Linked DNA regions of Drosophila melanogaster. The protein of the gene in region 2 interacts with the protein of the main gene of each other region in a pairwise test. Each region holds a gene or a part of one and is shown on either strand. Other genes may lie near its edges. The genes, in order: mtgo, CG11523, CG6428 and Suv3.

Region 1 (4,875 bases), on a different chromosome or scaffold from region 2:
CTGCAAAGTTGGGGCATAGAAGCGACAAAATAATGAGGACAGCGAAATTATTCCTATTCCATTTTTAAGGGAATATACAGTTATTAAAATAAAATATTTTCATACCCAACTTTACTTGGTTAGTCCAAATATTTGTATAGCCCTTTAAGGAGTTTATTATGTTGTAACTTGGATAGAATGGATTCCAGAATAGTTCCGGAAATGACTTGAAACTGTATTTCCGGCTTTCACATTTAATTTACATTTTAGCGTGGACACCTACCGCAATGGTTTGGTTATATGCTAACGCTTTCCTTAAGCTCTTGTAAAAGTTTTGTAAGTACTAGTGTTATACGGAGATTTTGTTAACAATTTCATTGAAGTATTTACATACGTAAGAATTTCAACAGAAATGTATCCTCCCAGTCGGGTTCATTTAAAAGGATTAACGGTATTTTGAAAAATAAATTATACAAAAAGATTTACAATCTATAACGTAGCTTAGAAAATGAATTTCAATTATCATTTTATTATATATTTTATAGAAATTGACTTGAATAATGTGGTGTCCATTGCAAAACGGATTAGCAGGACTAGACTTATATTACGAGTCATTTTTCGATTCTCCCACTTATGTATATTGTTCAATTGACCTTTGATAATACAAAATTGCCTAGATTTCAAATAATATTACGTATACTAAAATTTATATATGTATGAAGTTGTTAGCCAGTTTCTTTCTTTTTTTTTCCATGAAATATTGAAATCTTCCTTCCGTTTTGCTTTGAAGTTCAAGTTATTTATTATTTGTTGTATTCTGCAAACAGCTGTTTGCATTTCGGCCGGCGTCGCAAAAGCAACAATTTTCAACCGCGTAAAGCTTTTGGCCTCTTGAGCCATAATTTCATACAGGTTGCAGGCTTGGAAAAATAACTCAATCTGGACTCACCTACTCACTCTCACTCTCTCCCTCTCCCTCTTCCAACCTTTCCTTTATTCACTCACTCTCCCACGCGATTTTTGGAACAAAAACGACGGCAGAGGAAATGCAGCGCAGTCGACGCCAAAAGGGATATTTTATATTATATATTAAGCCCGTCCTTAAATATGAATTTCCCAATCCTATTCTTATTCAAATTATAAAATGTATATTTAGCTTTAAGTTTAAAATATTGTTAAGTCGTACTCGGCTTCATTACGTAAATATCTTATTCATATAATTTTTGTACACGTAGTGTCACATGATAGAGTAATCAAATAAATGCATTTGGTAATAAGCTGATCTTCTGGACATTCAAATAACTATGCTCAAAAACCTTGCTGGCCCTTGATTCACTTAATAACTCAATTTTAGGACTTTCAGTGGGTGGAAATTTCCCTGGCACCCACGCAAACGAACGGGTTAAAAGATAGTGAAAAAGAGAGAGCGCACGAAAGCAACAATTGCTTACTCTTATGCACAAAGAAAAAATACTAACAACTTCAATTTTTGCATTGAATTACATAGAATTCGATAGAAAAGCCCAGGTCAAATAAAAAATTAAAACAATAATTTAGATAACGACTTATTTGATGTTAGATATTAGATTTAATTCGGTTAATGGGTAAGTTAGAAGAAATAATGTAAATTTTTGCATTGCAATAATGAAGCAATGAAACAAGCTTTACGTTAACGTCACATGAACTACCGTTAGCGAGCGAACAGTGCAGAAAGCGCTCAAGAGCGCGGAGCATTCCAATGCGTTGGAGTAAGAGCGTGCAGAATTCGTGGGAGCAAATTGGCGCCCGAATCAGCCGCTTTTCGTAACTCACTCAATGCGAATTGTTTTCAAGCGCCGGAGAGAATCTATATAGAGGGGCTTCTCCGACTCGCTTCGAATATGTTTTTCGCAGCGCGCGCGTTCGCATCGGAAAATCAGAAAAGCTGGCAAGCGTTTAAAAACAAATTCGGCAGGTACAATTGTTACTTGTTTTCCCCTCAGTTGACTATTTCGTCGCAGGTTTTTGGCCAGCGGAAACCATCGTAATAACCGTTTATCGTTATTTTATTATATTCGCGTAAATCGTTGTTTGTTCAACCACAGAATACTTGTTGTTACGCATTTCGAAAATGGAAATGCGAAAATTTCCAAGCAGTGAAAATCAAAACGAATAAAATATATTGGCTGCTTTTCGTGTTTAGCGCGTACGTGTGTGTTTCTGTGTTAGTGAGTGCAGCAAGAAATAAAACCAAAAAGCAACAAATAAATAAATAGAAAACAAAAGCAAAATCAAATCCAAATTCAAAGGCAAATACTTGCAAAGTAAGTTGATAATATCAGAGTGTGGTGCTAGCATATGTTGCATTATTTTGCCCAGCAATTTACATGTTTTTCACATTTTCTTCTCTCACAAATGACAACTAACTAATATGGATGATATTAACGGTGTTTAGAGTTGGCTTTTCCATTGAGAAATATGAAAAAATGCGTTCAATATGTTAGCGTACACACACACACAAGCGGCGGCTAACTGTTGTTTGTGTGTATGTGGGTGAATTGGCAATAACGCGCACGTGTATTAGTGTGTGTTTGTTTTTGTTGCCTTTGCGGCCAAGTGGCAGCAAAACGTTGCAAGCAACAAAAACAATAACTACGATGGCAAAACAAGTGCAGTCAGCAAAACCAACTCAACCAGTGCCTCTCGCGCTCTCCCACTCTCTCTCTCTCTAATACCCAAGCCCACCTCCTGCTCCCACACTCACCCTTCTCCCTCGCACCCATTGACGCAACTGCATGGTCAGGGCTTCTTTTACTGTTACAAAGCTCATGCGTGGACCCAATAGCAAAATGAATGCACGATGTACTTAGTTCATTAATTCCGCCAAATCAGAAATTATAATTATAAATGTACGAGTTTAATGGATTAAAGTTAGGTGTACGTAATTTTTTTAATTGTATGACCACTTTGGTGAAGCATAACCGTGGTATGAAGCTATTACAATTTCATGAACTTGGCGGCATAAACTTTGCAATTTACTATCTATGGTCGTCTTTGGATTTTTGGCTTCGCGCTTTTTGCTCTTCGAAGTGCGCTGCTCTCTTTGCGCCAAACAAAGCTCGGCCGACACTTGTCGCGTCTTTTGGATATCTGGCCTCCTCCCACCGCCCACTGCCTCTTTACATATATCTTTTACATTTTTTGCTTTCATACACTGAATAAAATTATGGGTATATACCGTACTATCAAATGTTTCTGAGTAAAAATTAATTTAAATAAAAAATTTAATTATATAATTATAAAATTATTATATAATCACTTGTATTTAATGTTGTATGTGTTGCAAATCCATTAATACTTTTAAACTTCTAGGCTTAAAAACAAATGTCTGTGAAAAAAGTGGAATTCTTGGAAAGTGTATCTCTTTGGCTTTTCCACCTCGAGGCGTTTTCGCTTGAAGCTTTTGCGAGTTTGGTTCGATTTCCATTTGCGTTTAATTGCATTTATGCATTTTTAATCGAGTTTGACTTTGGTGAGCTTTTTACTTTGGCATATGCTAGATTGTCGCCCAGACACACGGGGTTTTTTTGGGTGAAAATGGGCTCTTGCTGATCCAAAAGATAAGTTTCAGTTTCGTCCTTCTTGGTAGTGAGATGTTTGGACAAAGTTTTCTAATTGGCCTTGACGCCGTTTTCAGAGTTTTAGTGCTACTAAAAGGCAAGAGTGCGAACTTTCTGCGTCTTTAATAAGATAATTTATTTGCAATTATAATTTGGTTCATTAAAGTTAATTGAATTAAGGGCAGGCGTTACATTCCAACCAAATGGAATGACAATGGGTGTGGGGTTAAAGATAAAAGGATTTTAGTTAGTGAGGAATATATTTTGTGATAATAACGGGTAATTAAATTTTTTTTTATTTTAAACTGAACCGCTATTAGGCAATTTTGGGCATTAAATAGTTAAAAGCTTTAGATACACAGTTTCAATGCGGTATACAAAACTTCATTAATTTTCGATTAATCTAGTATTTTTATACTATAATTTAAAAACCTTACGTCATTTATTGTTTTAAATCAAATTTTAAATTTAAATATTTTAAGATATTCCACTTCTCCAAAGAGGTTTTTTTCGAACAATTTTTAACTCACAGCCAACAGCTGTTGCATCCTAAGCAAACATTTGTATGTTTAACTTAGTCCTCTTGAAAGCTCAATTAAAGTCGCGTGTATAACCGCCCACTACCCAGGGATTCTCTAAACTTCTACACTCCGAACACACACGCCAAGTTTGCAACTTGGCATATGTTTATCTGCTAATCATGGAAATGCGATGCGGTGTTGCAAAATATTTATCTAGAAACGGTTGACTAAAAAAGAGGGAAATAAGCGAAACAGCTTTTCAGCCAAACTGCAAATGGGAAAGCAGCCCCCTTACCGGTTTCCCACTTTTCCGGCACGGCGACCATATGCCAAAAAGCTGAACCAAAAATCGCACACACATTTGGGGATAAAACGCGATGCGAAAAAAGCATAAGTAGGCTGCTGTGACATTTCGTTGTCTGGGTATACGCTCATCGCGAACAAGGATACAGGAGCATTAGGGTGGAGCAATTTGTTCGAAGCTAAATATAAAAAACTTCAATATTGATTAAACTTGTTCATGCATATAGGACTTAAACTAAGTAAAGATCTGAACTAAAATTAAGTGCTTTTTTTTTAATAGAAGAAATATTAAGATCAGCTATTTTTGCGGACTGTTGATTTCCTTTTAGCGCTTAAACCTTTATAAGAATATACTTGGCATTTCAAGACTTTCGTAAATTCAGAACTTGGCTTAGATTGACGCACCCTGATAAAAGCACACTTATAAAGGCACACATTTGTATATCCGCACATCGGCACACACAAATAATTCG
Region 2 (3,244 bases):
GACATTACGGGGCTGCCGTTTAGTAAGTTCTCAAATTTTGAAACAATAACCGTCGTTAAACCATTTTCCAAATAATTTACTTCCTTATCCTCAGTGATAAATGTGACGCTGCCCGATGACAAGACCAATTACGTTCATCGCATCGGACGTGTGGGCAGGGCGGAACGCATGGGGTTGGCCATTAGTTTGGTGGCAACAGTGCCGGAGAAGGTTTGGTACCACGGCGAGTGGTGCAAGTCGCGCGGCCGTAGCTGCAACAACACAAACTTAACCGAAGTCCGAGGATGCTGCATCTGGTACAACGAACCAAACCTACTGGCCGAAGTTGAGGACCACTTGAACATCACCATCCAGCAGGTGGACAAGACCATGGATGTGCCAGTTAATGACTTCGACGGCAAGGTCGTGTACGGTCAAAAGAATTTAAGAACTGGCAGCGGCTACGAAGACCACGTCGAGCAGCTGGTGCCAACTGTACGCAAACTGACGGAGCTAGAGTTGCAATCACAATCTTTATTCTTGAAACGTCTTAAGGTCTAACGCGGATCTGGAGCGACATTTGTTTGCTATGCAAGGAAAGGATGTGGTGAATTGAGAAGTGCAAGACCAACTCACGCGGAAATACTTTTGCGGCACAAACACACAATTTTGTATATGTAGGAAGTCGGAGCTCAAGCTCTGCTATTAAAAATAAACATTTAATTAAACTAACATTAAAATCGTCTGTCTAAAGAGTAAACAGCCTCGTTTGAAAGCTGGAGTCCGGTTACCGTCACTTCTTCTCCTCCTCCTCCGCCTCCTCCTCCTCCTCCTCGTCCTCCTCGTTGAACTCGGTTCGCATCTGTTGCAGCGCTCTAAGCTGCTGGCACAGCTGGTTGCCGAACGACTCGACGTAGCGGGGGCTGATCTTGTCCAGCAGCGCGTACGGCGTTTCAAATATCTCCTCCTCCTCGTCGTCGCCTTGCTCTTGTCCGTTGCGAAGCAGTGCAGAGATCCGGCTGTCCTCGTCTATGGTGTCGTACTGGGAGGAGACGATCTTGAAGCCACGACTGCTCACCTGAACGCAGCAAGTGGCGCTCTCGATAGTCCGGATGTTCAGGTAAATTTGCGTGGCATCGCTTGCCAGTTTGGATGAGATGCAAATCTCAGCGACGTGAGCCTTAACATCGTTAATTATGGCGTTGGCTTCGTCCTCGCAGTTGAAGGCCTGCTCCTCCCCAGGGTCTGCGGTGGCTTTCGGTTCGCCCATCCTAACAGAATCGCTTCGGAGCTCTGCGGCTCGCCTTTTAATTGAATCCCAGTCGATCTGATTCCCTTTTACAGGCGCAACATGTCGTTCCACTCTACTCCATATGTGTCACAGCAGCTGTGTGGCGTGTGCCACGCGTTAGTACATTTTGACCGATGAAGCGGAGCAGGGCGTTCCGGCCAAACTGAATATAATCGTTATTAATGATTTTACATGCAATTTAGCTTAGTTTTTGGTTTAATAGAAGTTCGTAAGACGTACCGATATAAAACGGTTGCTGTCGTATCGAAAGTATAAATTACTCCTAAATAATTGAAATTGGAATGGAGGGGTGCATAGTATAGATTATGGATTAAGTCCAAAATTTGTATATAGCCTCTTTTTTACATTCTTTTTACAAAACTGTAAATAATTTTAATTTAATTAAATAATTTAAAAAAAAACGAAATAGACAATTTTTTTTATTTTATTATTAGTTCTTAATATATGCTTCCCTTATTTAACTTTGTAATTGTATAATTAAAAAACTTAATTTAATTTTTAAATAAAAAAATATTAATAAAAAAATATTCTGCGAAATGGGTTGCATCAAAAAAAAAAAAACACGTGCACGACCTTTTCCTTGGGTGTTCCCTTTCACCCTTCATTTCTTAGACAATCTCGCTTCCGCCCATACAAATTTTATGCATACAGAAAATGACCTGCGGCCGATCGTTGCTTGTGAGTCGCTCACCAGAAAAGGTTATTGCGCTCGTAATAAAAAACTGTCGGATATTTTTTATTCCCGCAAGTAGAGTGTCAAAAAACACCCGGCTGCCTAGATACAACAGTGTTTAGCGGGTGCACTTGGAGTGCCAGTGGCTTGCTGCAGTTCTCTGGTGCACACTTTCGATGCGATTTCTTACAGTGAGTCCCGTAACAGCAGCTATTAATGTTGCGATAGATGGCGTGTTAGTCCAGAGCTGGAAATCATTGATGTCGGCAGGTAAACCGATAAGATAGAACATCGGTTCAGTTCCATCTCTAATTTCGTTGCGAAAAAAATAAGAATCGAGGCATCGGTACGGACGTCAAAAACTGCAATTATAAGAGTACACGCACAGATTGTGGTTCTTGGCAGGCACAGACTTTCACTGCGTGTGACAGCGATCGCTAGTGCAAGTTACCCGTTCGCAGTCAAAGTGACACAGGCATCAGGATGAGCGCACCTGGCATGGACAAGAGAAAACTGTCGTAAGTATTTTGTAGTGCTCCTTCATTTTTCCTCCACGGCGCACACACACGCGCCGTCGGCAGAGTACACACACTCAGCCCGTGCGCGAGTGTGAGTAGCAGCTGCGCGCAGGCAGCGCGGTCGGCGCGAAATTGATTTTTCGCGGCAGAAGTTTTCTCGAGCCAGCAGGCACTTTCCTTTCCACGTCGGGATAAACAAGGAACCGGGTCAGGGGTAATAATGGGCTCCGGTAGTGGGAAGGGGAGGGCAGCTGCGGCTGGAGTTTGATTTCGGACAAGCGAATTCGTCCTGGGCAAGGCCAAGGACAAATTTGGCCATTTGACGGAATTCGATTTTTATTTGATTTCAATAATCGTTAGTTAAAATCTTAGTGGCATAGTTTCAACTTATGTTGCATTAGGCAGGAAAATGTAAAAGGTAGAAAAAAGGCTACGCACATCATCGATCAAGACTCGAGCCGATATCATTCAGATATGTGCTATGTAATACATACAGACCATTATTAGAATTACACATTATAACTACACAGTATGAGAATTTCCTCTTCCTTTCTCCTCTTCCTCTTGCATTCTTCTCGGTTGGCCACACCTCTTTTGCCCGCAAATCGCACGATTTCAATTGTTTAATAGAGAAAAAATGAGTCGAATACTTCATTTTATAAATATTGTTCTATTTAAATTGTTCAATGTTTGGGTCTTCGTGCAACACATACCGATTCCGGCATAAGTGCGCGATAACAACAGACCTACAGATCCAATAAC
Region 3 (5,453 bases), on a different chromosome or scaffold from region 2:
ATGCGGACTGGCTATCTGAAGGACCGATTATATATCCACGGTGGCTGCGCAGCGCTAGCTATCGACATTGACTGCAACGAGAGAGGGTTTACCATATAGCTAACATATATCATCCGCTTCCGATCGGCTAGAATTGTCTTTAGCTTTGAATTTGCGTTTCTTGTTGTTCTTTTTATTTTATGGAATTCGTGGCACTGACGTGTGCACCTCTCTATAGATGTGTGCGTGTGTGTGCGGCTGTGTGTGTGCGAGTGGGGCTGTGTGTGTGTTTTGTTTGCTGTTTTTCCAGCGCTTGTGTCGATTTTCGCCTGGTTTCTGAGTTACAAGCCACTAAGCACTAGATTGCAACGTAAGAGCTTTCTTATGTGCACGCTGACAGATGTATATTTACCAATTCTAATTAATGCCAGCGTAAAAACAATTCGATACCAGGGCTGCGCAACAACTGAATAGGGTCACAAAGCCCTGGTAAGTTATCGAATGACAGATGGCTCGATAGCACTTGCGCTCGTAATCAATCAATCGATTACAAACTAATTCAAAAATTTTGCATTAATTTCAAATTGATTTTATTTATTTTCATACAACAAATTATACTAGTTTGTGTATATAACTTGTTATACAACCGTTTAATATGTCTGATGCTTAATTTTAGACATGATTGGTTAATTTTTGGTTTTGGCTAATAATATTATTGCATACAATGGATACATTAGTAAATAAGGACTACTTAAAAACAGGTCAGGGATTCGACACTTAATAATAAAAACTACCACGACAACATCGTTAATATGCGAGTTATGCAAAACTGATAATAAGGAACCATTAGACTAGATGCAACACTTAAGTACAAAAGAAATAACCCTAGCCTCCAGTGTTTGTTTTTTTCTTCATGCTGCAGGAACAAGGAACGAGGTATGTATGGTTCGGAAGAGATTTCTATGATTTTAGGACCTCCATAACCGCTGCGTGTCCGCCGCGCTCCGCATAATCCATGGCGGTCAGGCCGAGCATGTCCTTCTCGTTCGGATTCTCGAAATAGGGCAGGACGTATTGCACCACCTCCGGAAATCCGTGCAGTGCTGCCACGTGCAAGGCCGTCCTGCCCGAAGGATCCGACTGGGCAAGATCGGCACCGGCGTATTGATAGGACTTCAATCTGATCATCGATCCCCTAGCAGCGGCCGCGCACAATTGCTCGCCCACCGCTCGCGAAGAGCCCGTCAAATGAGCACCACAGTTGATGAGCAACTGGATGATCTCGTGGCTATCGGTGGCGACAGCCTCCAGAAGTGGAGTGCGGTCATACCGATCACGCACGTGCACGGACACCCCGTTCTGCAGTAGGTACTTAACGATCTCCACGTTTCCCAGCTGACAAGCCAAGTGTAGGGCCGTTCGCTGGTCATGATTTGTGCCCGACAAGTCGGCGCCATAGGCTTTCAAGTTGTTGATCTTCTTGGGATCACCTTCGGCCACAGCGGCGTTGATCATGGCCGGAAAGAGCGTTTCGCCCAGCTGATCCAGTTCTTGGGGCGAGGACAAGTGCAGAGACCGTGCCACTGCGTCCACCAAGTCGTAGTCCTCCATTTTGGGAGCCTTTAAGGAGGTCAGTTCGCCCCTCAGGCTTGACTGCATCATCTATGAAATGCACACATTGTGGATTATCCATATTTATGTATGTATTGAATTATAGTCGAAACTTACCTGCTTCTTCATATCGAGTGACCACTCCTCCTTGCCGATGACATAGGCCAGCTTGGCCAGCGCCGCCTCGGGCGTCATATCGAAACCGGGAATTACACCGACATCGCAGAGCACCTTGCCCGTATCGTAGATCTCCGCCACTGTGCCATTGGGACACTGTGTACAATTGATGATGATAACGCCTCGTTCACCAGCCGCACGCAGTTCATCGATGAGATCTTTTCGGTTCGATGGTATGTTTCCAGATCCGAAGGATTGCAGGACAACGCCGCGAATCGGTGGCGCCAGGAAAGCCCGGAATGTGGAGTGCGAAATGCTCGGAAAGATTCGCAGCAAGCCGACGTTCTCGTCGAGATTCAAGTGTACGCAAAACCTTTCAATAGTGCATGGCCGGAATATCAGGCGGTAGTCGACGTTCACATCAATGCCGATCCTGGCCAGTGGTGGAACATTCGGTGAGTCGAACGCGTCTAAGGCATTCGAACTGACCTTCACCGTCCGATTGCCGCGCATCAACTTATGGCCAAAGAAGATGCAAACCTCCGGAATGATGTAGTTACCGGCTATGATCAAGGCTGACGTAAAATTGTCCTTGCCATCGGTTCGCGTCTCAAAGATGGGTATTTGGGAGCCCGTGATGATCACCGTCTTGCCCAAATTTTCCAACATGAAAGACAATGCAGATGCGGTGTAGGAAAGCGTGTCGGTGCCATGGAGCACCACAAAGCCATCGAAGAACTCGTACGATTGCTAGACAATAATTTGGAAAGGATTAATATTACCTTTCATATATATATATATGTATGTACCTGAATATCGCTGGCGATTCGCGCCCAATCGTTCATCGTCATATTGCTGCTGTCCAGCAGCGGTGTATATTCCGAGATCTGGTAGATAACCCGGCGATCTACGCCCTGCACAATGGGCAGCACCAGTGGAGCCATCGATGCAGATGCTCCAAAGCGGCGCAGCGCGTACTCCTCATCGTGGATGTTTGGATATTTGCGGATGCTGCGCACCAGGGCATTGGGAATGGGAGCTAACACTGCGATAATTATAGAATATTAATATTGATAGTCACAAACTCCGTGACAAATTAGTTTCCTAATCAAGATGATGATTTATGGTCACGCTTCGTGTGTCAAATGTTTACTAAAATACCTAATTAGACCACTCAATAAATAGCAAGCAAATAGTCAATATTTAAATAGAAGCATCAACAATCTGTTGACTGCCAATTGATTTGTTTTGTTTACATTCATACCAACAATTTCAACTTTCATACATATTATTCGAATAAAATGTTTTCAAGTGCATTGCTCTTATCATATCTGGCCATTTTCTAAGACTCCCCTTGTTAGTAAAAGTGGGATCTTATCTACATGGACAGATTCGGGCAATCCCAATGAATCCTCGTATTCGTGACATTCTGGGCTGCTTACCATTCCGCTCGTTGCGCACCATGCCGATGGTGCCGCCAGTGTAGATGACCTTCACCCGGGCCTCTTTGACATCCTGGGCCATGAGTTTTCCATCACTTTTATTCCTGCGGATCGTGGGACTCGGCAGAGTGGGCGATGCCGGCGGCATGCTTTTGTCCAGCGAGGCCAGCCTCTCGTGACCATTGGTCTTCAGGACGGGAATATCCATAATATAGAGTAAAGAGTATAGAGGATGATGGACTGCGGAGCGCCGGTTGCGAAGCTGTGTGCCTTATCACTGGCTGCTCAGATGGTGTCGTTCCGACGCGTAAACAGCAAATCCATTAACAGCCCGTGCCGTTGATGATTATTTGGCCAACTCGTTATCGTGCTAATCCGGATCGGATCCGAAGTAGTGAAATAATAATTCGCGGGGGGACGCCGAGATAGCACGTGGTATTGGGACTCTATCGCAGAGGAAATTGAAACGAAAAGCCCAAATCACGGCGGCGCAATCACTTATATATAGATAACCGCACCAGACTTTGGCCCACGACGTACATGACTAATCTAATGAAATTCAAATGAAATTCCGCTGATTGCAATATTTTGGTCATAAATAAACACCCAATCAGCTGTGCGACTATCGATAGTTCGCAGTGCCATAATATCAATTCCAATTAGACTTTATTTTGTCTAACTTATAACAAAATTCTTTTTATTTTTCTAGCCTTTCTAAAACTTTTCTATATATATATATATATATATATATTTTTTTTATTGCCAAAGCTCTATTATTTTCTCAATTGTTTTGTTTACACATACTTAACTTTTTACGTCGATGCGGCAACGCTGAGCCATCAGTGCCAAAATACCCAACACTGGTTAACTGCTCAATACCACAGGTCTGGCAGCGCAAAAGCTTGTGCCCGTCTGGCAGCTCCAAAATCCCGTTAAGTTGGCGGCAAATGCGCAAAAAATTTAAGTACAGTAAAATTTATAATTTGTGGTGAAATACAACAATTGAATGAGACAAAATGTGAATTGAATTTGAACAACGACTTGATGGACGACTACAGCTCGTTGTGGGCGTGACTGGCGGGCAAATGGGGCTGCAGGTCCCGCCAAAAGTCGACCCGGTGCTGCATAAGCTCGTTTTCAAGTCGAAAAATGGATGCGGAGTCCTCCATTTTGGTGCCCAGTCGAGCGAATTCCACTGGATAACTAGAGGCGGGACTCCAGTTCGGCAGATGAAAGCTAACATTCGTGGGATTTGGATTGCTGTGGAGAAATTATCATTAGTTTCGATTAAAAAAAAGAGTTATATTTAAATGGCATATACCCGGTCTTCGCAAAGCTAACCCACAGATGGAGCATTAATTCGCGGAGTTCCAGATCCTTTTGCGTCGGCACCGCACTCACAAATAACTCCCGGCCAATGGGGAACAAGTACTGGAGCTCCTCGGCATGGCACGCTCCATAGAACTCGTTTCGGCCGCCCTTGAAAATCTCCGTAAAACTGGCAGCTCCCTTGTGATCGAATAGGTATACATAGGTGGGGGCCACGTCCTCTTGGGACATGCGGAGGCGCAAGTACTCATCGATTCCGGCCACAAACCATCCATCCGAGATCAGCTAAAATGGAGTAAGGAGTTTGTACACAGATGCTGATTGGATTAATGAACTCTTAATTCATCTAGATTGGCGATCCGTCCACTCACGTCGGTCAGGTTCTGGTGGTTGGCCTTGTCGTAATCGTGGCCCGACTTGAAGTAGAAGCTTTCGATGCGCTGCGTAATCGTTTGCCGCACGGAATCGTCATGATGATCGTAGTTGAGCACGACGGGCAGGACCTGCTCAAACTGAGACTTAAACTCGGCCAACAGCTGGGGAAGATTGAGCAGGGCGGCGGTCTTCAGGAGACCTTCCTCGGCGGTGGCGCCCACCATGAGTGGAAGTTGCAGTCCATGTGGCTTGGCCGCCTGGCGAGGTGCCACTGTGAGGAAGGCGCCATCGTGCTCCGGTTCGACCACGGGCGGAAATGGTATCATCGGATCAAAGTCCCAGACCTGCAATACAAAAGAAAGCTAAAGGTAAAGCTTGACCTTCCCTTCACCATATTTGTTTAATAACAGCTGCATTGTACTCATTTTTGGTCAATACCAGCTCTACCTTTTTTCAACAAAAGTCTTGCTGGTGACACTCTCCGTTTTGTATATCAATTGTAACAAAAGTAATTTACATAAGTGGCGATTTGGAGAGCCTTCATTGAAATTGGTTATAAGGCTACGTCTAGCTTTGAATGTAAATTGCATAATTGTACTA
Region 4 (6,337 bases), on a different chromosome or scaffold from region 2:
GATGCCAAATGACGACTGCTGTCGTCAAGTGCTTGGCTCAGGATGAGACCGACCAAGAGGTAGGGTCATCCGAACAATCTAGCCTAGACTGGGCCATAAAATATTTGTAATTTGGAATCAATTTGGCACACATTTTGTTTATAAAATGTAGGAAATATGAAATATGAAAGCGAACAAGAATAACCAGAATACTCAAATTTTATACGCAAGTACATACACGAAAAGTACATACCAGTACTTATATGTATAACTACTCGAAATTTGAATTTTATGATTGTTTGTGATAAAGAATACTATATGAAATATCAGATGTCCGAATAGAGCGTATTTAAGATTTTGAGTGTACATTTGTACATCTGTGCAAGCTACGGATGAGTGACGAATTTTTGTAATTTACCTTTCTGCATCTTATATTTAAATATTAAGCCCGGCATAAGATGCCCAAAGTCTGTTGAGACTAGCACTTTTTTATTACCCAAATATGAAAACCGAAAACACATAGGAACAATTGTAGCCAATGCATACGTACATACAATACATCAAACCTGCAACTTACATACCTTAACAAACCTACGTACATAGGTAACTCTTGGTTTTTTGATCAAGAGCCATGCGCATGTTCCAGTTTTGATATTCAAAGAAATACAAAAGTATCGGTACCTTAGAATTCGAACGCACAAATACATATTCTACATTCGAAGATAAGTTGGAAAAAATGTTGGTAAAAATACTAGGACATCTGTGAATGCAAGCATGCCGATTCGCGTGCCAGGCGAGAAGATGGATTTTATTAGAGCTTTATTTCGATTTAGGGATCGGACTAAAGAGCACATATGTATTTAGCTGCTCCGCTAAAGTATCTGACTATCGTTGACGGTCGTTGTGGCTGGATTTTGCAATGGTCAATGAAATGAAAGTACTTTGGTTTTGCATTAGAGCGCAAGAATGATATAAGTTAAACTTATAAAAAGAGAAACCTTAAAGCTTTAATAAATATTTAAAGAAATTGTTTTTTAAACTCAAATTAAATCGAAACCTAAAAAAGCAAAACTATTAAGGTGTTGCCATGCGCATCCAGCGTAATATTAATTTGTATGTTGAATCATATTCAGAGTATTTATATCTTTTAAAAATCTGTATGTTTTAAGTGTCGAATATTTTATAACCGCAATTCGAATGAATTGGTGCTCCTTATTACTGCAAAGGCCATATATAAGCTAAGTCTATAACTTCATTTGGGAAGGACAGCGAGGATAAATTTAACTAACTAATCGAAATCGTTAATGTCGGTATTACATATTTCTAAATTCAACAGTGCAACGGCTGTTAGCCTTGACACAAAGTTCATTTTTGTCAAGTGTTTCAGACCAAAGACACTAGAATAACTCTAGTGTCTAATAATTCTAGTGTCTTTGTTCAGACTCTGCGTCCCTCCATAAATTGCAAAAAAAAAAAAAAAAACAAATTCATTTTCTTTTTCTGACAGAGATAACATAATAAAACTTTTAAATTTAAACAATTAAATTGCCATTGTTAATTATCAACTAAATAATTTTAATATAACTTAATTGCCACTTAAAATAAAAGTATATTATATAAAAATCCATTTCTTACCTACTTATTTCGTATTCTAACTAATCCTGAGCTGGCACGTTCATTTTCTGCGTTTTTTCCTTGTCTTTCGCCCGATCCCTGAGTAATTATCCTCGTCGTCACTATTCACCACTGGTTCCGAATTTTCATTAGATTGCGAATTGGATTTGCCAAGTTGCTGGGCGTCCCATTCCTTGCGTAGCTCGCTAAGCATGCCTGGGGTAAGAAGACCCTGTGCAAGTAACCTTTCGGTGAGACGGCCACGCGACAAGCTGGGTAGACGAGGCTCCTTCACGTGCGTTATTCGGCGGATTGCATAGTTTGATGTTTCTCCGTCCTGACTCGCCTCGGTATTTTTAAGCAAGCGAGTTATTTGAAAAACGCCCTGCTGTATAATTTCGTCCAGTTCCTTCTGGGCATCTCGCACGTAGGCCGCTTCAGGGAAGAGATCCATGAACCGATAGCTGCAAAACAAGTTTGATTAGATTTTTTCTGAAGCGCACTTGTGCGAGACTTGCCTTAGCCAAAGATACAGATCCATCACGTCAAAGACGGCCTCAAGATGGACCAGGTCCAATATCGTCTTGGGTAGCTTGAATGGCCAGCCACAGTTTTTTTTTATAAAATCAAAGGTAATAGGCTCGTTGCGGCTGTATTGCCGTGCTACCTTAAGGAACATTGAGCAAACAAAGGGCATCTTTCGATTAATAGGTGCACAGCAGAATACATAGCGAGCCCGCAAAGGCAGAGCAACATGTTGTATCATTTCGGCTAAGAACTTAAAGTCTTCAATGTTGCACATAAAGTATAGAGAATCATCGACAGTGCACAGATTCACGAATATGTCCATTAGGTTGCTCAAAGACGAGCTTGGCAGGTGGTAGGCGTAAAGCTCAATCTGATCGGCCGTAGGATGCAAGCCCGCCTGCTTTATCGGCTCAGGTGTCCGAGCCAATATCCGCTGTAGGGTTTGCAAATCCTCGGACTTGAAGGCAGTTACATATCCGTGCTCCCACTGAGTTCGGAACCGGCCCGCTCTTCCCGCAATCTGAAGTGCGGACGAAACCGATATTGTGTCGATTTCGCGCTCGCCTCGCTCATTCATCGACGGCTTGATCAGTGAGTAAAATATGATTCGACGAATGCTCCTGCAAGTACATTCGCGGGCATTATATTTTGGCAAGCCACATATATAGAATATTTTACTTACAGGTTCAAGCCCATACCGATGGCGTCAGTCGCCACCATTACCTTGCAGCTATTGGCGGGATCATTAAACTTAGCAGCCTGGGCTAGCTTGGTACCTGGGGGTAGGCCCCCATATATCACAGCTACCTCCTTCCCTCTAAAAAAAATAGTTTTAGGGATCAGTTGAAAATAATGACTTAACAAAACTGACCGTGCTTCGATTTCTCGTGAAACCGTATAAATATCATGTTTGCTGAAGCACACAATGCAGTCGCCAGGAACTATATTGTCCAATGATCCTAAAGCGGTATTTTCGACAGTCAGCTCCGTAAGCCGATCGTACAGCCGTACTTCAACAGTTTCGCCAGTGGTTTCGCAAATTTTTTGCAGGAGGTCCAATGCGCCTGGCTCACCACAAACATGCACTTCATCCGCGATCAGTCCAAGGAAGGCACGCGTCCAAGCCCATCCCCGCTGGGGGTCGCGGATCTGTTGTATTTCATCGATTACAGCCACCTCATCTGAAACAGAAAAATCAGCACATTATAACTCAGCGAAGCAGGGAAACAACTGGACTTGCTTACATGGAGTATTCACCGAGGTCATTTCCACAGTGCACGCGACGTGATTGGCTGGCAAACTTTCGCTGATGCCGAATTTGCGCTCCTCGCCTGTGACCAGATCGCAGGGAGTGCCACGTTCATTGGCCTTGTTGTACACCTCAGTGGCTAGAAGCTTTAGTGGCCCGCAATAGACCCCAGTCTTCGCACTCAGGTATCTCTCCATGGCATGGTAAGTCTTACCGGAGTTTGTGGGTCCGGCATGAAAAACAATCTTTCGGGTGATGGCGCGAGCGTTGCTATACCAGTTGGCAGGCTGCCTCAGGTCGGAAATCTTTTTCAGGTCGTCCATGCAGTCCAGGTGCGGGAATACTGTCTTTGCGTGTCGTAGGAAGTACGGGAAGATGTCATCGATATGACCCGCTCCCTGTGTTATATCGCTAAAGGTTATGTGCAGATCTACTGGAAGGTTTTCTGCCTCGATGCAAAATCTTCGGAATGAGCCAAAGGCCTGTTGCTGTAGGTAGTCTTGTAACGGATGCAAAGTAAGACGAGGGACCATAGGAAACAGGTGCATACGTACCGTCCAGTCCGTTTTCGTTGCATAGTGACTTGATTTCGCGACGTTGGGTGAACTTATTAAGAATCTTCAGCAGCTCAGCCTTTTCCAGTTTGCCCGACAGCTCGGAACCTACGTCCTCTGAATCCACATAAGCGTGCACCTGTACTGGCTTGAACAACGTGGACAAGTTCGTCTCCGGTTTTTTTCGAGAAAATAAAAAGGCCGCACGATGCAGTCGGCGCAGGGACAAATCAATTGAAAAGGACGGACGCAGGTAGAGTGTCATCCGCAAAAGGCCCGTTAGGCTGATGCAGCGCCTGCAGTTTTGCATGGTTGTCCACTTTAGTGGAACACGCGTGGTTTTTATTCACCAATTCCCGCAAAATGAATCTCCGTACTCACGTTCCTATCTCTGATATAACAGAGAAGTACAATCAGCTGACGCACATCTGGTTGTTGGGTTGACAATGCTCTTACAGAATAGCATTGCCATATCGATGGTTTTTATGCTACGTATGCGGGGAATTCTTTTGAAAAATTATTAAAAAATTAGTTTTAGAAAACACATCAGAAAAACGATTGTGGAATTTAATTTATACTAAAAAAATATTTTAAAAAAGTATTAAAACATTTAATTGTATTACGACGGATATAAAATAGGATATTTGAGAACATATATGCATTTACAATAAAAAGCAAATAAAATATGTTGTTCCTAGGCAATCGCAAAATATTTATAAATAAAAATGAAAAAATGAAAATTGATTCCACAATAGTCGTTAAAAAATGTAGTATCGGTATTTGGCATTGCATTTTTTCGCAATACAGTCTCGCTTTATATATGGAATATTTTAAAAATATTTTCATAAAATCGATAAAATGAAAAACAATTACGTATTCTAAGCCAGCATACGCAAATAATAAAATTTATTTAATAATCGGTAGATTAAATGTTAATGTCCTTATAAGCAATTTTAAAACTTAATAATAAAAACTCTTTAAATATATCGATCTATCGATGATTGGCTATGCTAACAAGAAGTCATATATATTGGCAACGCTGTGTTTGTTTGTCAGAATCAAAATAAAATGACTCACTTGTTTGTTTAAACAAAAAAAGAATTTTAATAACAATTCCAGACAATTATCATAACAGTTAGTGCCATGGGCTTATTCGGCAGAACTCCCAGTAAAGATCCCAAAGAGCAGGTAACGACGCAGAGGCGTGGCAGTGATTTTTTTGGGAATGATGTCATTCCAGTTGGATTGATTTTATTAGACCTTTCCCCATCTGTCCATTGTGCGTTATGAATATTGTTTTGAAATGTAAATTCCCATTAGGTGCAGGAGTGGACGCATAAGATACGGAAAGAGGGCAACCAGCTGGATCGCCAGATCCGAAGTATCCAGCGCGAGGAAGAGAAAGTAAAACGCTCGCTGAAACAGGCAGCACAGAAAAATGACCGCGACACCTGCGTCATTCTTGCCAAGGAGATTGTGAATGCGCGAAAGGCCATCAACCGCATATATACGTCGAAGGCGCACCTCAACTCCATTCAGATGCAGATGAAAAATCAGCTATGTGAGTGAACTCTTCGCTTGTTTGATACGACCTGATTATCGAATCCTCCTTGCAGCCACCTTGCGTGTAGCTGGATCTCTGCAAAAGTCTACAGAGGTCTTGCAAGCTATGCAGAGCCTGGTGCGCTATCCAGAGCTTGCAGGCATCATGCGCGACATGTCAAAGGAAATGATGAAGGCCGGCATTATTGAGGAGATGCTAGACGAGACCATGGACTCGCTGGAGGAGTCCGAGGAGCTGGAGGAGGAGGCAAGCAAGGAGGTGGACAAGGTTTTGTGGGAGATCACAGATGGCAAGCTCGGGGAAGCTCCCCTGCCTCCAGAGGCTACACCGGCGGACAAGGCGTCTGCGTCTGCTGCGCGCGTCGAGGCTGAGCAGGACGATGAGGAGGGTGAGGAACTGCAAGAGATGCAAAGCCGCCTGGCCTCGCTGCGATCTTAAAACAACTGCTATGGGTATTTTATTTAGATTTGAAATTAAAGGCAAGTGATTTTGACTGGCAGACCTTATCAAAATCATAAACGGCAACCCCCACGCCGTCATTTGATTGTAGAAACCAAAATAATCTCCAGAAACTTGAATTGAGTTTTTATATTATAAGTGTACAGTACACCAGATCAAGAAGTGTTGAACTCTGCGCGTTTTACCGTTGAATCTACACGAGATAACTTAATTTATTGTAAAATCTACCTTTCATTAAAAATCGATATTTACTGTGGCATGTCCCATTTTACAATGGTAATCTGCACGATTTACGATCAATCCCTAAGAATGTTAATTTTCGTCATTTAAGATTAAGCCCTAACGTTGTTTTCTATCCAGTTCAGATACGCTTCAACCCTTGTGTACACG

The links.
Region 1: the proteins of CG11523 (region 2) and mtgo interact in a two-hybrid assay, tested with the Drosophila melanogaster proteins (one large-scale study listed by BioGRID).
Region 3: the proteins of CG11523 (region 2) and CG6428 interact in a two-hybrid assay, tested with the Drosophila melanogaster proteins (one large-scale study listed by BioGRID).
Region 4: the proteins of CG11523 (region 2) and Suv3 interact in a two-hybrid assay, tested with the Drosophila melanogaster proteins (one large-scale study listed by BioGRID).

The regions. Positions count from the first base shown.
Region 1 is NT_033779.5:16,543,157-16,548,031, forward strand, and holds the start of mtgo (miles to go), read left to right. Parts: upstream 1-1,859; 5' UTR 1,860-2,282; intron 2,283-4,875. Other genes in the region: CG31816 (uncharacterized protein), read left to right, coding at 1-19.
Region 2 is NT_037436.4:22,265,306-22,268,549, forward strand, and holds CG11523 (uncharacterized protein), read right to left. Parts: upstream 1,375-3,244; 5' UTR 1,250-1,374; coding exon 773-1,249; 3' UTR 541-772; downstream 1-540. Other genes in the region: Ddx1 (Dead-box-1), read left to right, coding at 1-22, 95-540; Csp (cysteine string protein), read left to right, coding at 2,448-2,482.
Region 3 is NC_004354.4:3,964,881-3,970,333, forward strand, and holds CG6428 (uncharacterized protein), read right to left. Parts: upstream 3,776-5,453; 5' UTR 3,358-3,775; coding exon 3,150-3,357; intron 2,753-3,149; coding exon 2,517-2,752; intron 2,458-2,516; coding exon 1,708-2,457; intron 1,642-1,707; coding exon 940-1,641; 3' UTR 555-939; downstream 1-554. Other genes in the region: CG6414 (uncharacterized protein), read right to left, coding at 4,202-4,409, 4,471-4,763, 4,850-5,197.
Region 4 is NT_033777.3:4,309,562-4,315,898, reverse strand, and holds Suv3 (Suv3 helicase), read right to left. Parts: upstream 4,345-6,337; 5' UTR 4,235-4,344; coding exon 3,925-4,234; intron 3,870-3,924; coding exon 3,366-3,869; intron 3,303-3,365; coding exon 2,993-3,302; intron 2,939-2,992; coding exon 2,804-2,938; intron 2,742-2,803; coding exon 2,112-2,741; intron 2,058-2,111; coding exon 1,655-2,057; 3' UTR 501-1,654; downstream 1-500. Other genes in the region: Vps24 (vacuolar protein sorting 24), read left to right, coding at 5,068-5,112, 5,245-5,485, 5,541-5,926; MP1 (melanization protease 1), read right to left, coding at 6,280-6,337. UniProt on the Drosophila melanogaster protein: Major helicase player in mitochondrial RNA metabolism and maintenance. Likely component of the mitochondrial degradosome (mtEXO) complex, that degrades 3' overhang double-stranded RNA with a 3'-to-5' directionality in an ATP-dependent manner.